2 linked regions of the Zea mays genome follow. The protein of the gene in region 1 binds, or shares a complex with, the protein of each later gene. Links are inferred from orthologs where the notes say so. Each region holds a gene or a part of one and is shown in the gene's direction. Other genes may lie near its edges.

The links. The genes of interacting proteins can lie anywhere in the genome.
Region 2: the proteins of Acyl carrier protein 1, mitochondrial (region 1) and NADH ubiquinone oxidoreductase B22-like subunit are in contact, whole or in part, in a cryo-EM structure (PDB 8BEH), measured with the Arabidopsis thaliana proteins. The link is inferred for Zea mays from reciprocal best matches to the Arabidopsis thaliana genes MTACP-1 and CIB22. Residues at the interface, in NP_181990.1 of Arabidopsis thaliana: Asp78, Ser79, Leu80, Asp81, Val83, Glu84, Val86, Met87, Glu90, Glu91, Lys94, Leu95, Glu96, Ile97, Asp99, Lys100, Ala102, Asp103, His118, Met120; in NP_567970.1 of Arabidopsis thaliana: Glu18, Arg21, Ile22, Tyr24, Arg25, Arg26, Leu28, Lys29, Leu32, Arg38, Phe41, Arg49, Phe52, Asn53, Tyr84, Ile85, Val86, Pro87, Trp88, Ala89.

The regions. Positions count from the first base shown.
Region 1 is NC_050102.1:20,659,293-20,668,963, forward strand, and holds Acyl carrier protein 1, mitochondrial, read left to right. Parts: upstream 1-4,280; 5' UTR 4,281-4,373; coding exon 4,374-4,598; intron 4,599-4,689; coding exon 4,690-4,866; 3' UTR 4,867-5,399; downstream 5,400-9,671. UniProt on the Arabidopsis thaliana protein: Carrier of the growing fatty acid chain in fatty acid biosynthesis. May be involved in the synthesis of short and medium chain fatty acids.
Region 2 is NC_050100.1:62,642,879-62,653,608, reverse strand, and holds NADH ubiquinone oxidoreductase B22-like subunit, read left to right. Parts: upstream 1-4,316; 5' UTR 4,317-4,407; coding exon 4,408-4,533; intron 4,534-4,611; coding exon 4,612-4,653; intron 4,654-4,760; coding exon 4,761-4,842; intron 4,843-5,232; coding exon 5,233-5,288; intron 5,289-5,993; coding exon 5,994-6,032; 3' UTR 6,033-6,411; downstream 6,412-10,730. Other genes in the region: uncharacterized, read right to left, coding at 8,915-8,962, 9,047-9,151, 9,638-9,711, 9,791-9,890, 9,998-10,111, 10,432-10,479, 10,562-10,624. UniProt on the Arabidopsis thaliana protein: Accessory subunit of the mitochondrial membrane respiratory chain NADH dehydrogenase (Complex I), that is believed to be not involved in catalysis. Complex I functions in the transfer of electrons from NADH to the respiratory chain.

The DNA.
Region 1 (9,671 bases):
CTTATGCTTTTTGATCATGTTCCTTTTTGCATTTTGTTGCTTATTATGGTGCTCAAGTTGTACAAACACTCCCTGGACCTCACAAGTCCGTTGCAAAGTGATGCACATGTTTAGGGGGAGATGTGTTACAACTTGACCCTTTGAGACTAACCATGTGCTTGAGTTTGATGATTTAGTCTCGCAGGAGGATTGAAAGGGAAAAGGTGGACTTGGACCATGAAAGACTTCCACTGCACTCCGATGAGAGGGTAACTAATTCCAAGTTCATCTCATGACATCTTATTGCCATTTGCTCTTCATTGAAGACTTTGGTGAGGCAATGGGGTTAAAAGGCCAAGGTTGATCCCGTTTTGGTGCTTGATGCCAAAGGGGGAGAAAATAAAGGCCAAAGTGATAAATGGATCAGCTACCACTTGAGAGATTTTGAAAATAGTAGAATAGAGTTTTTGTTTTGTCAAAAGCTTTTATTGTCTCTTATTGTCTCTATTGTCAAAAGTTGGTTTCTTGTGGGGAGAAGTGTTGATTATGGGAAATAGGGGGAGTTTTTGAACTCTTTGATCAATCTCTTTTGGAATGACTCTCTTTATGCCTCAACATGTGTGTTTGACATAGAAATAGAGATGTGAGTTTGATTTCAAAAACAAACCAAGTGGTGGCAAAGGATGATCCATATATGCCAAAATTGAATCAAAACCAATTTGAGTTTTTATTTTAAGTGATTTTGCACTTGTTCTAGTTGCTTTATGTTGTGTTGGCATAAATCACCAAAAAGGGGGAGATTGAAAGGGAAATGTGCCTTTGGGCCATTTCTAAGTATTTTGGTGATTGAGTGCAAACACAAGTGCTTAAATGTGAAAATATGCCCATGGATGAACAAAGTGCAAATCACAAGTTAAGGTATGTTTCTAAGCCTTAGTACATTGGTTTTGTGTACTAATATTCTTGTCTAAGTGTTAGAAACAGGAAGAAGAAGAAAAGAAAAGAAGTGGAGAGTGGCTGTGTACAGCCAAAGGCTGTTTCGGGCTGGGGCACCGGACTGTCCGGTGTGCACCGGACAGTGTCCGGTGCGCCAGACCAGCGTGGAGCAAACCAGCCGCTCTCGGGTTTTTCTCCGGCGACTTCGGCTAAAATTCACCGGACTGTCCGGTGTGCACCGGACTGTCCGGTGAGCCAACGGTCGGCCGGGCCAACGGTCGGCCGCGCGATCGGCGCGCGACACGTGGCCGAGCCAACGGTCGGAAAGGTACACCGGACTGTCCGGTGTGCACCGGACATGTCCGGTGCGCCAACTGTGCGCAGATCTGCATCAGAAAGCAACGGTCGGATGAGCGTTTTATGGAAACAAATCGGGCACCGGACAGTGTCCAGTGTGCACCGGACTGTCCGGTGCGCCCGACGACAGAAGGCAAGGATAGCCTTCCAGATGTGTTCTCAACGGCTCCTAGCTGCCTTGGGGCTATAAAAGGGACCCCTAGGCGCATGGAGGAGAACACCAAGCATTCCTACAACCTTTCTAAGCACCAAGACATTGATCTAGCGCATTCGATTCATTGTGATAGCATATAGAGCTCTTGTGGAGTTGTGTACTCTTTGAGTTGTGTTGCGAGCTCTTATTGCTGCTTGTGTGCGTGTTGCTCTGATTTTTTGAGGTCTTGTGTGCGTTGCTCATTCCCTCCCTTGCTCTGTGATTCTCTGTGAACATTTTTTGTAAGGGCGAGAGGCTCCAAGTTGTGGAGATTCCTCGCAAACGGGATTGAGAAAAGAAAAGCAAGAACATCGTGGTATTCAAGTTGATCATTGGATCACTTGAGAGGAGTTGAGTGCAACTCTCGTCCGTTGGGACGCCACAACGTGGAGTAGGCAAGTTTTTGTACTTGGCCGAACCACGGGATAACCACCGTGTCATCTCTGTGATTGATTTCTTGTGGTTATTGTGTTTTGACTCCTCTCTAGCCACTTGGCCATACTTGTGCTAACACTTAACAAGTTTTTGTGGCTCAAGTTTTGAAGTTTTACAGGATCACCTATTCACCCCCCCCCTCTAGGTGCTCTCAGCGAGGTGGCCGGAGACGGGCGTGAGAGAGGTGGAAGTCCCGCGGCCTTCATGTTCGTCCCGCGCCCAGGTCGGGTGCGCTTGCAGTAGGGGGGTTACAAGCGTCCACGCGGGTGAGGGAAGCGAGCGGCCCCAAGAGAGCGCCTGTCCCGTCCTCGGTCCCGCGCGGCCAACCTTCTCTGAGAAGGCCCTGGTCCTCCCTTTTATAGGCGTAAGGAGAGGATCCAGGTGTACAATGGGGGGTGTAGCAGAGTGCTACGTGTCTAGCGGAGGGAGAGCTAGCGCCCTAAGTACATGCCAATGTGGCAGCCGGAGAGATCTTGGCACCCTGCTGGCGTGATGTCGTGGCTGTCGGAGGAGCAACGGAGCTTGGCGGAAGGACAGCTGTCGGAGCGGTCGAGTCCTTGCTGACGTCCACCTGCTTCCGTAAGAGAGCTGAGAGCCGCCGCCGTCATAGAGCTTGGGAGGCGCCATCATTGCCTATCTGGCGGAGCTGGTAAGATGGGACACCGGTCTTGTTCTCTGCGGCCCGAGTCGGCTCGGGGTAGAGTGGTGATGGCGCTCCCTGTTGACGTGGCGGGCCCGCGCCCGAGGCCGGGCGACGTGGGGGCTCCTCCGAAGCTGGGGTCGAATTTGTCTTCCGTTGCCGAGGCCGAGTCCGAGCCCCTGGGTCGGGCGAGGCGGAAGTCGTTCGGCATAGGCCAGGGCGGAGTCCGAGCCCTGGGGTCGGGCGAGGCGGAGTTCATCGTCTTCCGGGTCTTAACCCGAGTCCGAGCCCTGGGGTCGGGCGGAGCGGAGTTCGCCGTCTTCCGGGTCTTAGCCCGAGTCCGAGCCCTAGGGTCGGGCGGAGCGGAGTTCGCCGTCTTCCGGGTTTTAGCCCGAGTCCGAGCCCTGGGGTCGGGCGGAGCGGAGTTCCCTATGGCGCCCCTGGCGAGGCCTGACTGCCTGTCAGACTCACTCTGTCGAGTGGCACTGCAGTCGGAGTTGCGCAGGCGGCGCTGTCCTTCTGTCAGACCGGTCAGTGGAGCAGTGGAGTGACGGCGGTCACTTCGGCTCTGCCGGGGGGCGCGCGTCAGGATAGAGGTGTCAGGCCACCTTTGCGTTAAATGCCCCTGCAACTCGGTCAGTCGGTGCGGCGATTTAGTCAGGGTTGCTTCTTAGCGAAGCCAAGGCCTCGGGCGAGCCGGAGATGTGTCCGCCGTTAAAAGGGGGGCCTCGGGCGAGATGGAAGTCCCTCGAGGTCGGCTGCCCGAGTCCGAGGCTAGGCTCGGGTGAAGCGTGATCGAGTCACTCGTATGGACTGATCCCTGACTTAATCGCACCCATCAGGCCTCTGCAGCTTTATGCTGATGGGGGTTACCAGCTGAGAATTAGGCGTCTTGAGGGTACCCCTAATTATGGTCCCCGACACAAGGTATAAACTAAGTGTGGATGATGAGAAATATAAGAGTTAATCCACCACGAGATCCACACGAAGAACAAACCTATATGCCTATCTTGCGAGCTAGAAAAACATAATCACGGATCCAAGCAAGAGCACAAGATACGAGATTTTATCCCGAGGTTCAACTCAGCTGAAGTCAAGTTCAACTCAATCAAAGAAAAGCTCAACTCAGCTGAAGTTAAGTTCAACTCAACTGAAGAAAAGCTCAACTCAGCTGAAGTCAAGTTCAACTCAGCTGAAAAAAAGCTCAACTCAATTGAAGTCAACTTCAGCTACTTTTCAATATAAAGACTCTTCGTATCTCAAACCTGACATCAGTCGAACCACAGAGTGTCCAAAGAATTTGCTTTTCAAAAGAGCTTTTGAATTTAGAGGCTTGAGCAATAGTAAACATCATTACCTGTGCGAAAACTGCCCAGAAAGAAATAGATCACGCGACTCAAGAAATATAGAAAGTTTTACATATCTTCACATGGAAACTTTTCAAAGCACCACTTTATATATTTCATTTGTCCTTGATACTTTCTTTTTCCTTTCTCAATTCAAGTTGTTACTCCTTTTATCTTTATTGACACTGAATATACACTATAAACAACTTGTTAGAAACCTTATCTATTTTGTCATTTAATCACTAAAATCCTTAATTAGGGTTGATTGCAGTTACAGATATATAACAACCGTAACAAAGTATGTACAACGGGCTAATGATGAGTGAAGCTCGTTCGAACGAGGGTCATTTTGACGAAACCCATATTTAACTATAACGAGGGTAAAGAAGCCGATGACTCTGAGATAGGAGGTGGGATTGCAGAGTCACGCGTCAGTTCGTTCCCTCCTCTGTGTACCGGCCAGTAAAATCCGAACCCACAGCGAGAAATGGCGGCGGCAGCGCTCCGTCCGGCGATCCTCCGCCGCATCCGCCTCTCCCCCTCCCCTTCGCTCGCCCTCGCCGCCGCTGGGACAGGTGCATCCCACCCGCACGCGCTGGGGCGGTGGCTCGCGCGGCCCATGTCCTCCCACGACGCGCACCTCACCCGCGACGAAGTCATCGACCGGATCCTCGACGTCATCAAGAGCCACCCCAAGATCGACCCCTCCAAGGTAACCGAACCCTCCACCCAATCCCGCATCACGATGGCGTCGAGCCCCACAAATCCTACTAACCCTAGGCTGTGGCCGCGGGCGGCGGCAGGTGACCCCGGAGGCGCACTTCGAGAAGGATCTGGGGCTCGACAGCCTGGACACCGTCGAGGTGGTCATGGCCATCGAGGAGGAGTTCAAGCTCGAGATCCCAGACATGGAGGCTGACAAGATCGACTCACTCCCTCTGGCCATCGAGTACGTCGCCAACCACCCCATGGCTGGCTGAGCCTCTGCTCGCCCGAGAGGAGGCGAGTTGAGGTGAGGCTTCGCTTGGTTTTGTTTCCGAGGGCAAATAATCTGCTGGAGTGGCACAGAAAAACTTGTTCCTGGTGCTCTGCATTGCTTCACGGTGACGGATGATGATGTCGAAATGGAACATTAACATTTTCAGCGTTAGATTGTTGTTTTTGTGTGCGTGTTATATCTATATATACTGGTTGACAAACTAGTTTGGTTGATTGAGTCTGATCGTTGTTGGGTTATTTGAATTGGGTTCGTGATAGTTTCCCATGATATTTTATCTGTTTTCCATGTGCTTTTGGGAACCTAAATTGATAAGAACGGCTTACAAGGATTGATGTAGGTTAAAAGTCTCAGGGTTCATGACAGCTGTTAGTGTGGCCTCTTGTTGTCCAACTCTTGTTCCTGTTAATGAGGCTTGAGTCTGTTTTATTTGTCAACATTATGGTTTTGTTGGTTGGAAGTATTCCACCTATTGCATGAGAAGAGATCAAAGGAAAGTGTGGCCTCTTGTTCTAACATTTTTGACAAAAATATTTTATTCTGTTAAATTGAAAACCATTGCATAAATAGTTAATGGTTCACTTAGACTTTGAGTGTCTTGCTCTCAGCAGAATTGAGAAGGGCTTTATTCTGTTGGTTTATCATATTCTCTTTATCAGTTTAACACAAGCAAAATTTTACCAGCAATCTTCGACTGATCGTGATTAGTTGGCCTAGCCAGTCCCTTGAATTCTACCATGGGTACCAAGGTTAGCTTGACTAGATTTCTGGTCGTCTGACTAGTCGTCAATAAATCATGATTAGTCATCTGATTATGAAGGGGATGACCAGGGTGCCTGACTGCCTGCCCTCTTTGGGCGGGTCTGCTCCACTAGGCTCTGAGGCAACTAGTGGGTTACCAATTTGGCCTGGTAGGGTTAGCATACCACTTCCCAGGATTCATAAAAAGGCAGACACAGCAGGCACCAGAACTTGGCACGAACCTCGGAATTCCTCTGTCTTCTCCCACTGCGATTCGCCCTCTCCTGTCTCTACTCTGCTTTGCTGTCACTGCCCCTCTGATACTCTGCTCTGTTTTATGCAACCCTCCTAGCCACCTGATGCTCTGGTGAGCTGCTCTAGTAGACTATAGTTAGTGTGGTGTTGTTGTTGTGCTACTGCCCTTGAACCTGAAGGTATAAAAATCTGATTGTGGTGTATGTTTATATGTGCATATGTCCTTGAACCTGAAGGGCTGAATCTTCTTGCCATGTTGTATTGGTCCTTGCTTTTTTGTTAATGTTATTATATAGTATAATAGGTTTATATTGTATATTTGTATGCATAGTGTTTGGTCCTGGAATATATAGGGTGACTAGGACCGACTGGGCTCAACTAGTCGGTCTGGCCGACGACGAATCATGACTAGTTGTGTAATGATCTCGACTTCTGAGGTTGTATGAGTGGGTAGTAGGGCGAGGCCTTGAGGATTGAGGGCGAGAGGGAGCCGTGCTGGCACACGGCTGAGACAGAATGTGGCAAGGAGCAATACTCTTCTTAGATTGATCTTTGCTAATCCTCCTAGGTACAAACTAAGGACTTTATATAGTCCAGTACAGGCGCACATAAACTGCTGCCGCCCCTATTTATTCTCTAACAAACTCCTACTATTTCTCCTTTGATATCTAATCTAAACAAACTTATCCTTATCCCTTTAATCTTGATCTCATGGCGTGGCCTGGCCTATGGGCTGCTTGGGCCGCCTTTCATATGTTTTACCCACCATAACATCTCTCCCCTTCTCCGAGAACAGCTCGTCCTCGAGCTGAAAATGGGGGTAGGAAGACGTGAACTGTTGCAATGGCTCCCAAGTAGCTTCTGTCTGCTGTGTTCCACTCCATTGTACCTGAACATGCCAGACACCTCGTTGTATTCTTGCTTTGAGCACCTTCTCTGGTGAGGGCAGCAGTCGACCATTCTCCATTGCTGGAAGAGCAGGAGGTAGCACTGGTGGGACGCCTCTGTATGGTTTGAGGAGACCAACGTGAAAGACGTCATGGATGCGTGCTCCCGTTGGGAGTTCCAGGCGGTAGGCGACCTTGCCGATTCGTTCCGTGATACGGAAGGGTCCAGCATAGCGAGGTCCCAACTTGCCTTTGGGTCGGCGCACCAGGGACTGAGCTTGACGGTTGAGCAGGCGGAGCCAAACCCAGTCGTCCACTGAGAAATCCAAGTCTCGATGATGTGCATCATAGAATCGCCGAGCATGTTCTTGTGCTTGCAGCAGCCTGTCTCGAACTTCACTAAGGAATAGATCACGTTCACTAAGCATTTCATCAACTGTCTGGTTTGCTGTTGAGCCCGGCTGGTAGGTAAGCACTGGAGGAGGATCCCTGCCATAAACCACTCGAAATGGGGTAGTGTGCAATGCTGAGTGATAAGCTGTGTTGTAGCAGTATTCTGCCCATGGTAGCCACTCAACCCATGCCCGTGGACGGTCTCCTGTGATGCACCGGAGGTACATTGCGATGGTTTTATTAACAACTTCTGATTGGCCATCTGTTTGTGGATGGAAGGCTGTACTCATCCGAAGTTTGACACCTGATAGTTTGAACAGTTCTCGCCAAACGTTCCCAGTGAAGACGGGGTCACGGTCACTGACAATAGACTGGGGAAAACCGTGAAGGCGAACCACCCCTTCAAAGAAAGCTCGGGCTACACTTGTTGCTGTATAGGGGTGGCTTAAGGCAATGAAGTGCGAGTATTTGGAAAATCGATCTACTATTGTCAAGATAACTGATTTGCCATGCACCTTTGGAAGCCCTTCTATGAAGTCCATGGATATGTCTGACCAAATCTGGGAGGGTACCTCAAGAGGTTGCAGCAGCCCAGCTGGGTGGAGAGCTTCAGTTTTGTTTTGTTGGCAGACTAAACATGCCCTAACCCAATCCCTTACCAAGGCTCTATCTTTGGGAACAAAAAAATCGGCCCGTAGTCGGTGTAATGTTTTCTGGATTCCACCATGACCAGCCGAGTGGGCTGTACCGAGTATGGCCGGCAGCAGGGATGAATTTGGCGGCACAAAGATTTGTCGGCCATGCAGAATGAGCCCATCAACCATTCGCCATGGTTCAGTGAGGGTGCCGTCTTTGATCTGAGTACAAATGCGTTGACAGTCTTGGTTAGAGGTGCACTCCTGACGCAACTCTTCATACAAATGGAAGGTGGGGCTAGACAACGTGGCAATCATGCCGTCGGTAGTCTGCCTTCGTGACAAGGCATCTGCCACTGTGTTGAATCGGCCTGCTCTGTATTCCACGATAAAGTCAAACCCAAATAGTTTGCTGATCCACTGATGCTGAGGCACTGTTGACAATCTCTGGTCGAGCATGAATTTTAGACTGAAGTGATCTGTGCGCACTGTGAATCGACGACCCCAGAGATATGATCGCCAGTGACGAACTGCCTGAACGAGACCAATGAGTTCACGTTCATAAGCTGCGAGCTTGACATGACGGGCTGCAAACGGCCTACTAAAGAATGCCAGGGGCCCAGATCCTTGATGCAGGACCGCCCCAAATCTAGAACCAGAAGCATCACAGTCCACAATGAACATTTGATCGAAGTTGGGCAGCTGCAACACTGGGGCTGTAGAAAGAGCCTTTTTGAGTTCCTGGAATGCCGTGTCAGCAGCCAAACCCCACTTGAAACCTTCTTTCTTTAGTAGTGCTGTTAATGGTGCTGCAATAGACCCAAAATCTTTGATGAATTTTCTGTAGTAGCCTGCCAATCCCAAGAAGCCACGTAATCCACGTGTTGATTGGGGAACCGGCCATGAGGAGACCGCTTCCACTTTGCTATTGTCCATGGCTACCCCGTCTGCTGAAATCACATGACCCAAGTAAGCAACTGAGGTGGCTCCAAAGGAACACTTGGACTGTTTAACAAAAAGGTGGTTACTGCGCAATGTTTCGAGTACCGCCTTGACATGTCGAAGGTGTTCAGACCAGGATGCACTGTAGATGAGGATATCATCAAAAAATACCAATACACAACGACGGAGGTACGACCCCAGGACTTCATTCATAAGGGCTTGGAAGGTTGCTGGCGCATTTGAAAGTCCAAATGGCATGACCAGGAATTCAAAATGGCCGTGGTGTGTCCGAAAGGCTGTCTTATGAATATCCTCCGAATGAACCCGTACCTGATGGTATCCTGAGCGCAGATCTAGTTTGGTGAAGAACTTGGCCCCGTTGAGTTCATCAAGGAGCTCATCAACTACTGGTATAGGGTACTTGTCTTTCACTGTGCGCTCATTAAGGGCTCTGTAGTCAATGCAGAAGCGCCAAGAATTATCTGCCTTCTTAACCAATAGGACTGGAGCGGAGAAGGCTGATGTACTATGTCGGATTGTTCCCTGTTTCAGCATTGCTGCACACTGCGCCTCCAGTTCATCTTTCTACAGCTGAGAGTATCTATAAGGACGTACCGCCACTGGTGCTGTGCCTGGCATCAGGTGGATGCGGTGGTCACATGGTCGTGCTGGAGGGAGACCCGTTGGGGATGAGAAAACATCATCAAATTGCTGGACTAGGGAGTCCATCATTGGTGTCGGGTTTGATGTTGAAACACGTGCTGAAAGTGGCCTGTGCATCATGCTGCGAGTAGAATTCAACCCTTTCCACAAAACTTGGTAACCATTCTTCCAGAACGCCATGCTCATGTTGGCTAAGTCCCAAAGGATGGGACCAAGAGTGCGCAGGAACTGAACCCCTAAGATGATGTCAAAGGAATCCAGTGGAATAGCAT
Region 2 (10,730 bases), on another chromosome or scaffold:
GACGAGACAGGCGCTCGCTTGAAACCGCTCGCTCCCTCTCCCGCGTGGACGCTTGTAACCCCCTACTGCAAGCGCACCCGACCAGGGCGCGGGACGAACACGAAGGTCGTGGGATTTCCACCTCTCTCACGCCCATCTCCGGCCACCTCTCTTTCCCCCCTTCGCGCTCGGCCTCGCGCTCGACCCATCTGGGCTGGGGCACGCGGCGACATTCACTCGTCGGCTTAGGGACCCCCGTCTCGAAACGCCGACAAATGAGTAGAAACTACATGCCAGGCTTTGTCATCAGCAGTCTTTTCAAGACATCATGGTGGTTTCACCGCGATATGTGTTCTTCAGAGTTTGGTTACCTGATTCACTTGCATAAGGCTCATGCCTGTTTTCTATTGATCTGTTTGTCCAATAAAAACTGTTGTAACCTAAAACCTGAAAACTATTGTAACATATTTTTTAACAATTTGCTAAACTTTGCAGGTTTTGAGCAGACCCACATATCTCTTTATTTCAATTATCTGGTGGCGCACCCTCACATTGCTAGAGCCTTCAACAAATTGCCATTCGACCACAAGTTAATCTGGGCTCGCAATTTCGTCAGTGAAAAGTTCCCAGGAGTGTGAGGGCAGTTGGTAGGTAGGCTTGGAGGGTTCTTTTGCTTGAACCACATCGAACAATGAATTGTGATTTATGTGTACCCAGGAGTGTGAGGGCAGTTAGTAGATAGGCTTGGACAGTTCTTTTGCTCGAATCGCGTCAAACAATGAAATGTGGTCTAAGTATGTCAGCAGAGTTTGCTTGAACATGTAGATTTTGTGGAAGCCTTAAACTTGATATTATGTGTAATGCTAGGACATATTATTATGTATTGTGTGGAATTAATAATATGTGTGTTTTGTGGACTTAATATTAGTTGTAACATATCATGAGATGGGGGCAATGACTGCAAACATTTTTTTGTGCTCTATTCTCGAACCAAACAAAGGACAGGTATACCTCTAACAAAAAAAAGGATCATCTCATCCTTTCGACCAAACAATACGAGGAATCATTCCATCTCAACCCAGTGACCATTCTATTCCATCCTCATTTGTTCCGTAACCAACCACACCCTAGGTGAACCTGACGGGCTAGCAGAGGTGCCGGACTGCCGGGTGCGTCTCCACCAGCAGCTTTGTCTCGCGGTCGCGGAGCAAAGCAAATCGTGGCCGCGCAGGGTGCGAGGAGCAAAGCTTCCTTCTTCTTCCTCCTCCGAGTAGCAGCTGTGTTGACGGCCTTTTCTGTTTTTTGTTTTGTTTTGTTTTGAAAAGTATAATGGTGCCCGCTTGTTTTTTTGCTTCATGCACCGAGAGACGACCGCTTTCTGATGATGACCGTCGTCGTTCCCGTCCGTCACGCTCACTCACTGACCGTAAAAACACGGTCGTGGCCCGTTGGGACCATCAGAAGAGGCGCTTGTGTCAGTGTTCCTGCGTAGTACACTAGTATTTTTCTTCAGTGTCCAGTACTACTGTGCGTACTCCACTCCAGTATCCGTCTCTCCCCTCTTCAGTCTTCCGCGGGCGCCATTAATAAAAGGAACAATTGGATCTATACCATTAAAAGATCCAAACTTTAGATATATACCATGGACCCCACATGTCATTGACTCATGTGAACCCACATGTAAGTGAGATAGTAATGGTATGGATCCAAAGTGGTGATCTTTTAATGGTATGGATCCAAATTTCCCTTAATAAAAACCCTGCTCGCCGCCTGTCGCTGCCTTCGTCTTTCTCGTGCCGCTCCTTCTCCTTCTCCTTCTCCTTTTCCTTCTCCATCTTCAGCTTCAGCTTTCATTGCGCAGGCTCATGGTCCCGGGGCCAAACTCTGAAACGTAGCCCTGTGATGATCGATCTCCTTGGACACACACACTGTCACACACACACACACTGGTTCGTCGAGATGCCATGCTAGCTGGTTACTGTTCCAACCACCGTACGTGTGGCCACATGCAGGGCTAGCTAATATATGTCAACTCCTAACAACTTCTTGTACGGTGTGGCCGTAGACCTTCTCTAGCTCTCATCGATCTGCTTACATGCAGTAGGGATCCAGGAACCATCCATCCATGTCAAACTCACGCCTCATCACAAGGGATACTATACGTGCTGTTTTTTCCGTCCATCAGTGGGAATATATACACACACAGGGCCGTATCTGACGGGGTGCGGTCGCATCGGGTCCAAAAAACAGAGAACCCCTAACTACTAGCCGCTACCATTTTTTTTGTTAAACTTATTTATTCTAGACACAAATACGCAAAGATCGATGCGCTATCGACAAGTCTCGTTTAGATTGTTAAAGTAATGCCTCAATTACTTATCGAATACTCCACCCGTTTTAAAATAGTATTTGTTTTAGCTCTTGATTTTTATGTTTATATTCAACTATATGATGATGAATCCACTAAAAAACAAAACGAATTCTATTTTGATACAATAAGAGTATTATTTAATATACACATGATGGTGCATGGGTGGAGAGAAGCTTTTTAAAATTGAAATGTTTTTTGAACTATTTGTGATCAACAATAACTCAAGATAGGTTAAATGACTTGCCGAATCTACATATCGAAAAAGTTATTGGATGAGATTGATCTCAGTGATATAAGCGATGACTTTGTATCACAAAATATTAGAAGATAGTTTTAATAATATCAGATAATAAGTAAGTGTTTTTGGCTATATTTTACACTTGTTATCTTATAAACTTCAAAACAGTGTATAATATTTTTTATGCGTCAAATATTCGACAATATATATATATATATATAATTATATATATTTGTGTGTGGAGGTGACCTTTATATCGGATTTCGTATTAGGTCCCTGAAAAGTCAGGAACTATATATATATATATTCAAAGCTCCTAGTATCTCTTCTAGTTAAAAGCAGCTAGGCTTTGAAGCGTTCTCCGCGTTTCTCGCATGCGCGGGTGACGGTATCGTGACACGTCTCGCAGTCCTCCACACGTCACAGTCCTCCTCCCTAGGTCATTGGAAAACTATCCGGAGAAACCAACGCACAAATCGACCGTGTGGGCCACCGTCTGTCTCTTGTCCAATCCACTCCATTTTTCTATCCCACATGACCGTGCTTCACGGACATACAGATTTCGTTTCGTGCTGATGCGTGCCCTCGACCCCTCGCCCATCCCTACCTCTTCGAATAGGCTTGTACCCATCACATTTTTCTCCTCCACGCACCGAGCAGGCGAGCACCCACCAGAGTACCAGACTATTCGTCCTCCGCTATTACCGCCATCTTCGTTTGTGCGCAGTCGCTGCCGATATCGCTAGCCCCAACCGCCCCGTGTCATCGCTGGCAGAGCCCCCTTCTCACCTCCGATCGCACGCCGACCTGGTCCGCTCACCACGCCACCGTGTTCCTCCCTGCCATGCCGCCTCCGACATCCCGGCCTTGCTTGTGCTCCTACTAGCCTCACCGCCTGCGACGAGCCTCTCTGCTTGCTGCTAGGGCCTCGCTGATGTGGATCTGCCCAGCTGCCATCACCATCTAAAAACTGTTCTCTAAACTAGTATAATAAATTCAGAGAGAGTTCCTACTCAACCGTAGCTAGCAGTGCGCCTTCCATCTTATTGCCCATCACACATATTTCAAAGAAGTGCGCTGCATGTGCCATTGACTACAACTACAAGCTGCGAAATCTGAACTGCTTGTAATCCTCACAATACCCAATCTTCACAACACCAAAGCCAAGCTCAGGGTCGGACGAGTCAAGCTAGTTCGATATCCAGCCCTAGTTAATAACTACGAGCTGTGAAATTTGAACTTGCTATCTTCACAGCACCAAAGCCAGAGCACTGTAGCATGTTGAAGTAGCAAGCTGGCTGGCTGTGGGAACACCACCACCACAGTCACACTCACACACACACACCAAAAAAAAAGGAGCATTTTGATGGCGCAGGGTCAGCTTGACTAATAGAGGTGAAACGTTGGACTTTAATACCCCGGCTTAATTTCTCGCCTAATCGCTACCGATATTCCATCACAGTTGGTTATACAATCTTTTTCTTTCGTCATACTCCACACGCGCTACACGGACTATATATAAAATTTTTTTTATTAAAAAGCACGTTGAAATAGTCCGAAAAAAAGAAAAGAGAAAAGATGTGTGTGCACACCACCGCAGAGAGGGGGAAGAAAGACGAGTGTATAAAGTGGACCGGGAAGAAAACGGGAAGCAAAATGGGCCGGCCCTAGCGCGCTAGAAGCCCAAACAGCCCATAGACAGCTGAGAGGCCGTGACCCCGCGTCCGAATCCGACCCCCAACCTCCCAACCCGACTACTACTGCAGCGAGAGGAAAGAGAAAAAGGAAAGGAAAGGACAAAGGAGCGGCGGCGAGGTCTATGGCGTCGACGGCGGGGTACCTGGCGCGGCGGGCGGCGCAGAAGGAGCGGGTGCGCCTGCTCTACCGCAGGGCGCTCAAGGACACGCTCAACTGGGCCGTCCACCGCCACCTCTTCTACCAGGACGTCAGTTCCTCCCCCTCCGCCTCCCTCTCGATCTTGATCTGGATCTCGATCTGACCTCGTGCTCCCTCTCCCGCGCAGGCGTCGGATCTCCGGGACAAGTTCGAGGCCAACCGACACGTGGTAAGGCCTCCTCCTGCCGATCCCTTTCCGCAGACCTCGCCTCCCACGTTTTGCTTCTGTCTGGTGCTCTATATGATGTTGGGTTTCGCGTGGGGTTGGTGGTGCAGGATAACCTGGACGTGGTCGATAGGCTCATTGACGATGCGGAGGCTCAGTACAGGAACTTCCAGCACCCCGATCCCTACATTGGTAAGCTTTTTTCTTGTTCTCCTTATCCTTTCTGACCAGTGAAATGTTTCGCATCAAATCATGTCGAATGGCAGCAACGCTTTTGTTTGGATAGACCATTGCATATGGATTAAATTTACTTTATAGTGAACCTTTCAGAGTTATTGCAGAAGTTTATAGATTTATACCTGCTAGGGGTATTAGTTTGTTCAGCCCTAGTAACACCGATGGTTATAATCCTATTTGATGAGATGAGATGCAAGTGAAAAGTTATTTGTAGTTGATTGTCGTCAAAGTTTTAATCTTATATAGAATGATTGTGCTAGTGTGTATGAACTACCAAATGTGCGAGGCAAGTCTCTGCTGGAACCCTAAAGCCTAATCTTTATATGCCTCTTCTTATCTCTGCAGTTCCATGGGCACCAGGCGGCACTAAATTCACAAGAAACCCCCCTCCACCTCAAGGGGTAAGACCACAGCTTACACCACTCTTTATGCGATGTAATATATTTGTGTTATGCTAATTTGATTCACTACAATGCCACAATCCTTACCGTTCATAATATTTTGCTTCTCTGTCTCCTGTGATCGCTTAAAAAAGTACACTGTTCCTAGTTTAAGCTAACTTAGTTTGAACGCAAGGGATGTAGCAGTACTTAAGGTTTCATCTGTAATTTCTCAATGGATGAGCGAGCTAGAGTTTTTATTTAAGGCCCCTTTGGAATGCGGGTTTTTTTAGTTGCAGTGCTTTGGCCAAAATTATAAATTCATCGCAGGAACTTTTACCAATTCTTACGCAAATGTAGTTGCTTTTACAGTTATTTCATAACCGAGTATCCTCTACTTGGACGTGATGGGGTGAACCATGCCAAACATCTCTGCTGCCATAGTATCATATTATTGGCTTAAAGTTTACAAAATGACTTCATCTTCTATGGCCACATTACCCTACCCCGTCCCCCCTCCCACACACACTGATTTGCTCGCCAAGTTCGTTTTTCATAGCACCGTTTCCTCTATTTGGATGCTACAGAGTATCTTATAGAGTTAACAAAACAACCTTGTTTTTTATGGCGGCATTATCTTGTTTAGCTTTGCTGAACTATCTTCAGGTACATGTAGCAAGATTCTGTACACCAAAATGTTGTACTAATGGCAATTGTGCCTTGTAGATCGAGATCATCTACAATTATGGCAAGGAGGACCAGTAAACAAGAGTCCTGCAAGCGGGGGGCAGAACTTCCACAGTTCCAAATCACTTCCTGTTTAATCGAGTTGTTGTACGAGAAATAAGAATGGAAATTACTGGACTCCATCCATGCTTCTCATTTGCTTGTTCTGATAATCATGTGCTCTTCATCTAGTGCATATTGAAGTCATGTTTCCTGTCATAAAATGGAACTGTACTATCTTTGTCGTGCAGTTTAAACTGACCGCCGGCATCTCAGTTTTTTTCTTTGGTTTTTCTGCGTTTTCACGTTTTTCTAGAGAAAGTATATAGATTCATGACATAAGATTTATGTTTTTAGATTTACTATGAAAAATACTTTCATAATATATGATTCATAATATATAATTCATATGCTGTGGAACTATAAGGACCTGTTTAGAAGTATTCTCATAATTTCTAAACAATACCATGATTTATATGAATACTGGAGTATTTTATGTTATAAGGTGTTTGGTTTTATGTTATAAGGTGTTTGGTTGTATTCTTAAAAACTATGTTTTCAAATTCATGGTATGGAATTCTTGATACCATTTTTTTTGGAGTATTGTAAACTCCATTACAATATAAAAATTTTATGGTATGGTTAGCTTTTGCTTAAATACCACGGTTTGCAATGTTAGACTATCTTCAGTAGATTACCCATCATCATCTCCATATTTAAATTTTTCTCTATAAACAACGTAATCTACAATGTAAAACATTGTTTATGGTAACAATATGTGTGAACCGGACACGGTCTTATATCTAAATATTGTTTCTAGTTTTTTAAGCTGTACAAAACTATAGCATTGTTATAACAATTATAAAGTATAGTATTATAAACTATGTTTTTTTTAAAAACATCATTGGCACAGTCCAAAAGGATTTTTTATTAGACCAAATAAATTTGATTTTTTATTAGACCAAATAAATTTGATGCGACATCGCCGACATGTAACAGAAATGGAGGGAATATGTATATAAGATGGTAATCTCTCTGTCCCAAAATAAAATTTGTTTTAAAAGATTAGTGAATTTATATAATACTTGATTTATGTATTTTTGCTCAAAATAAAATTTGTTTTAAAGGATTAGTGGATTTCATATAATACTTGATTTATGTGTTTTTATCTGTGTCTATATTTATTATCATTCATTTAAATGTAGACATAAATATTAAGAGCTAAAACCATTACTATCTTGGAATCTAAAAGAGTATTAGACCGTGTCCAGAAGTTTATCTATATGGTTATGTAAAATATTGTTTTACACTTTTTACATGGTAGATCGTACTGTTCATAAAATAAAGTTTGAATATAAAAATAATAATATATAAACTGTTGGAGATAGTCTTAAGGCTGGATATCGAGTCAGCTTGTCTGAGTTCAAGCTGGCTCGTTAAGCTAAAGAGTTGGCTCGGCTCGTTAATCTAATGAGTCACAGAGTCAGCTCGACTCGTTTAGCTCGCGAACCAGAGTACAAAAACAATACGTATATAATAATCAATTTTTAGTTAATTTTAAATTGTATTTAACAATAGAAAATAATAATTATATCCAGATTCACAAACCATGTCAATGTAACACCAAAATAACATAACTTATCACTCATCAATTCACACACATGCACATCAGTTTAACCCACAGTTATATTTGCATAGATCAATTTAACACATAGACATAGTTCATCAATTATTAGTTTAACTCATATGTCATAAACACCACATACATATAACATGTTCATCAATAGTTATGTATGATATGTATATATCTTTGTTTTGATGAAATGTGATAGTTCGTTTAGCTCACGAGCTGGCTTGTTAACAAAACGAGCTGCTCGTTAAGCTGGCTTGTTAACAAAACGAGCTGCTCGTTAAGGAACCAAGCTAGGATGTCAACTCAGCTCATAAAAAAATTCAAACAAACCGATTCGAGCTGACCATGAACCGAATGAACCAACGAGTCACGAGTATTTCATCCAACCCTAGTCTTAACCAAACACACCCTTTGTAGTCCGTAGCGTCGTCAATTTGGAGTCTTGGAGTCGCTTGCAGCAACCCTTTGTAAACACACCCTTTGTAGTCTGTTTGTTTGGGCTTTTTTTAGTTTCTAGCCACCAAAAGCTATTGCAGACCCAAATACCCCAACTTTTCAGCCCGTTTATAATTGTTTTGGTAAAACCCATCCAAAATTAACGTGAATACAGAAAACCGTCGCTTTCTATATCCTGAACCCTTTGGACCACTTTATCTTCCCTAGCACGTAATCTCCACAATACTCAGATTTTTCTCACAGCCATATTTTCTCTACAACTAGATTCTTATAAAAGTTGGTTAGAAAAAAGTTGAACCAAAAATCAACATTGCCCTCCACTCGAGTCCACCAACGATAGAAAGACTGGAACCAATATCAAACTACTGGACAAATCATATCAGTACCCACATGAGATGTTTAGCTAGCACAGTTCCATTAGGCGACCACATGGCAGTATGTACATTTTCTTTTCCAATAAATAAAGACCATTTATGTACACAAGGTGAGGTCACAGGGTACAGTTAGTTCATGTACAACGGCCGGGATGTACAGCACAAATACAAGTCACGGTGCTGATCCATATCGACTGCGCAGCTGCATCCCATTCCATAAACCAAGCACCGTCACCAGGCCCCATAGAGTTGGCTTCGACTCGAAATTGCTGCTGCTGAAGCACAAAAGTACGGCATACTTCCTTTCTGCAGGTTAACCATCATTGTTGCAGCCAGAGCTCAGAGCAGCAGCACATGTAGTGGCACACTGTCAAAATGGAAGACTTCGACAGTTAACTTAGTCCATGCTCCGTGCTCTGGAGATGTGCATATTATGGGCAAAAGCCACATTGCGTACCTCATGATTGGAAGAGGGTGACAGTTGCAATATATCCGTTTTTCATCACCTATTGACCCATAAAAATAACACGATGTCACATCTGATATACACAGGGGGACACAGATTTGGAGTGTGATCTAATAACACCCACCTCGAAAGCGATATTCTGATAACCATATACAAAAGTTGATCCAAATGGATTGTTCATGGAGCCTTGTGTCTGGATTGCAGCTCGGCCACAGTCACCGAGGATCTCCTAATATAGTAATACCAAAGGGTTGTTAAAAGAACAGAAAAATATAACAGATGGCACGCAATAAGATAGCATACCGGCACTTGAAGCGTTGCTAGGTTGATAATACAGATTAGACAAATATCTACTTAAAAGGTAAGTGCTCTAGAAAAAGCAAAGGCAAAGCTGACATTCTTAGTGCAAGAACATTAGTGTGATTATGCTAACAGCCCAACTATGCAAAATAAAACCTAGTATATCATTATTATGTCATAAGTTTAACATTCACTATTTAAGAAGGATATAAAGGATTCATGAAAGTAATCCATGAAGCCAACGAAATAAGATGAAAAAGGGGTGCAAAAATTGTAGCATAAGGCATTTCAAAGCAAAGATGATAATTTTAGAACTACATGGCAAAAAACAAACGGCATTCTGAAGGCAAATAACACATCAAGGACTACCAGTGGTACCATCAACAGTGTTAATAAGTCATGTAGAATGCCATACCTTGACTTGTTCCCATTTTGTACTAGGTGTTATGCAATTTTTTGAGGCATTATTAGGCTGACATGTACCTTCAGCTGAGAAAAGAGCAGATGGATGATTGGATTGGATTATTCCATCACAGCAAACTATTTTTTTATTACAAGTAGTTCAGACCTTCAGCGTCGTATATAACAAAGTTGCATTTCTTATATGAATTGAAATCTGAGTGGCCAGGGAAGTTTGTATGCAAAACAAACTTCTTTATCCTATGTGTCTGCAAGGACAATAAAGTCTGTCAATATGCTATTCCAAATCCAAGCCAATAAAAAAGATGCTATTTACAGTGTTGCACAAATCCTAGTGTGATGAAATACTCCACACCTGTCCATTAAATAAGATATCAATTCCACGTGAGAAGTAGTTGTAAAAGTAATCTCCACAAAGGGTCGTCCGAGGCCTGGCTTCTGATGCGGAGTGTATGACCATTTGGTCCACCTTGCAAGATGGGAGAACAAACATAGTTAGCTTTCCAGCAGAGAATGCACCAACGATTCCAGAGAGAATGTCATTCTTTTTATATTGATCTTTACCAAACAAAACCTAACCATATGTCACAGAAATACGGATTAGTTTCATGCTTCCAATAGCTCTGTATAAGCTAAAATGTTATCTAAATGCTTCCATGAGTAAGCAAAAAAAGTAAATTCACAAGGAAACCGGTTCAGTTTAACATGTCATATGTTAAATAATGTTGGCAACTCAAAGAAATGCATATTATGTGAAATCTCTACTCTAATGCCTCAATTAAAACTGACCTGCTTCTGATGGATACCACAAGGACGACCCAAGTCAGTCCAGACATCCTGCAGAAGAAATTCAAGTAAAAGACAAATCAGGGCAATGTAAAGTTATATTTTTATTTCAGAAAATAGATATGTGATGTACCTGTGGTGATGCACCAAAAGGAATATGTTGCCCCCCTATTGTGAACCAAAGTTCTTCACCAAGCTGAAAACAAGTATAAGAAAATGTTTAATCCACTGGTAAGACTTGGTAAGAATCGTAAGACTAAATAACATACAGAAATCACAACTAATTCATATACACGGAAAAG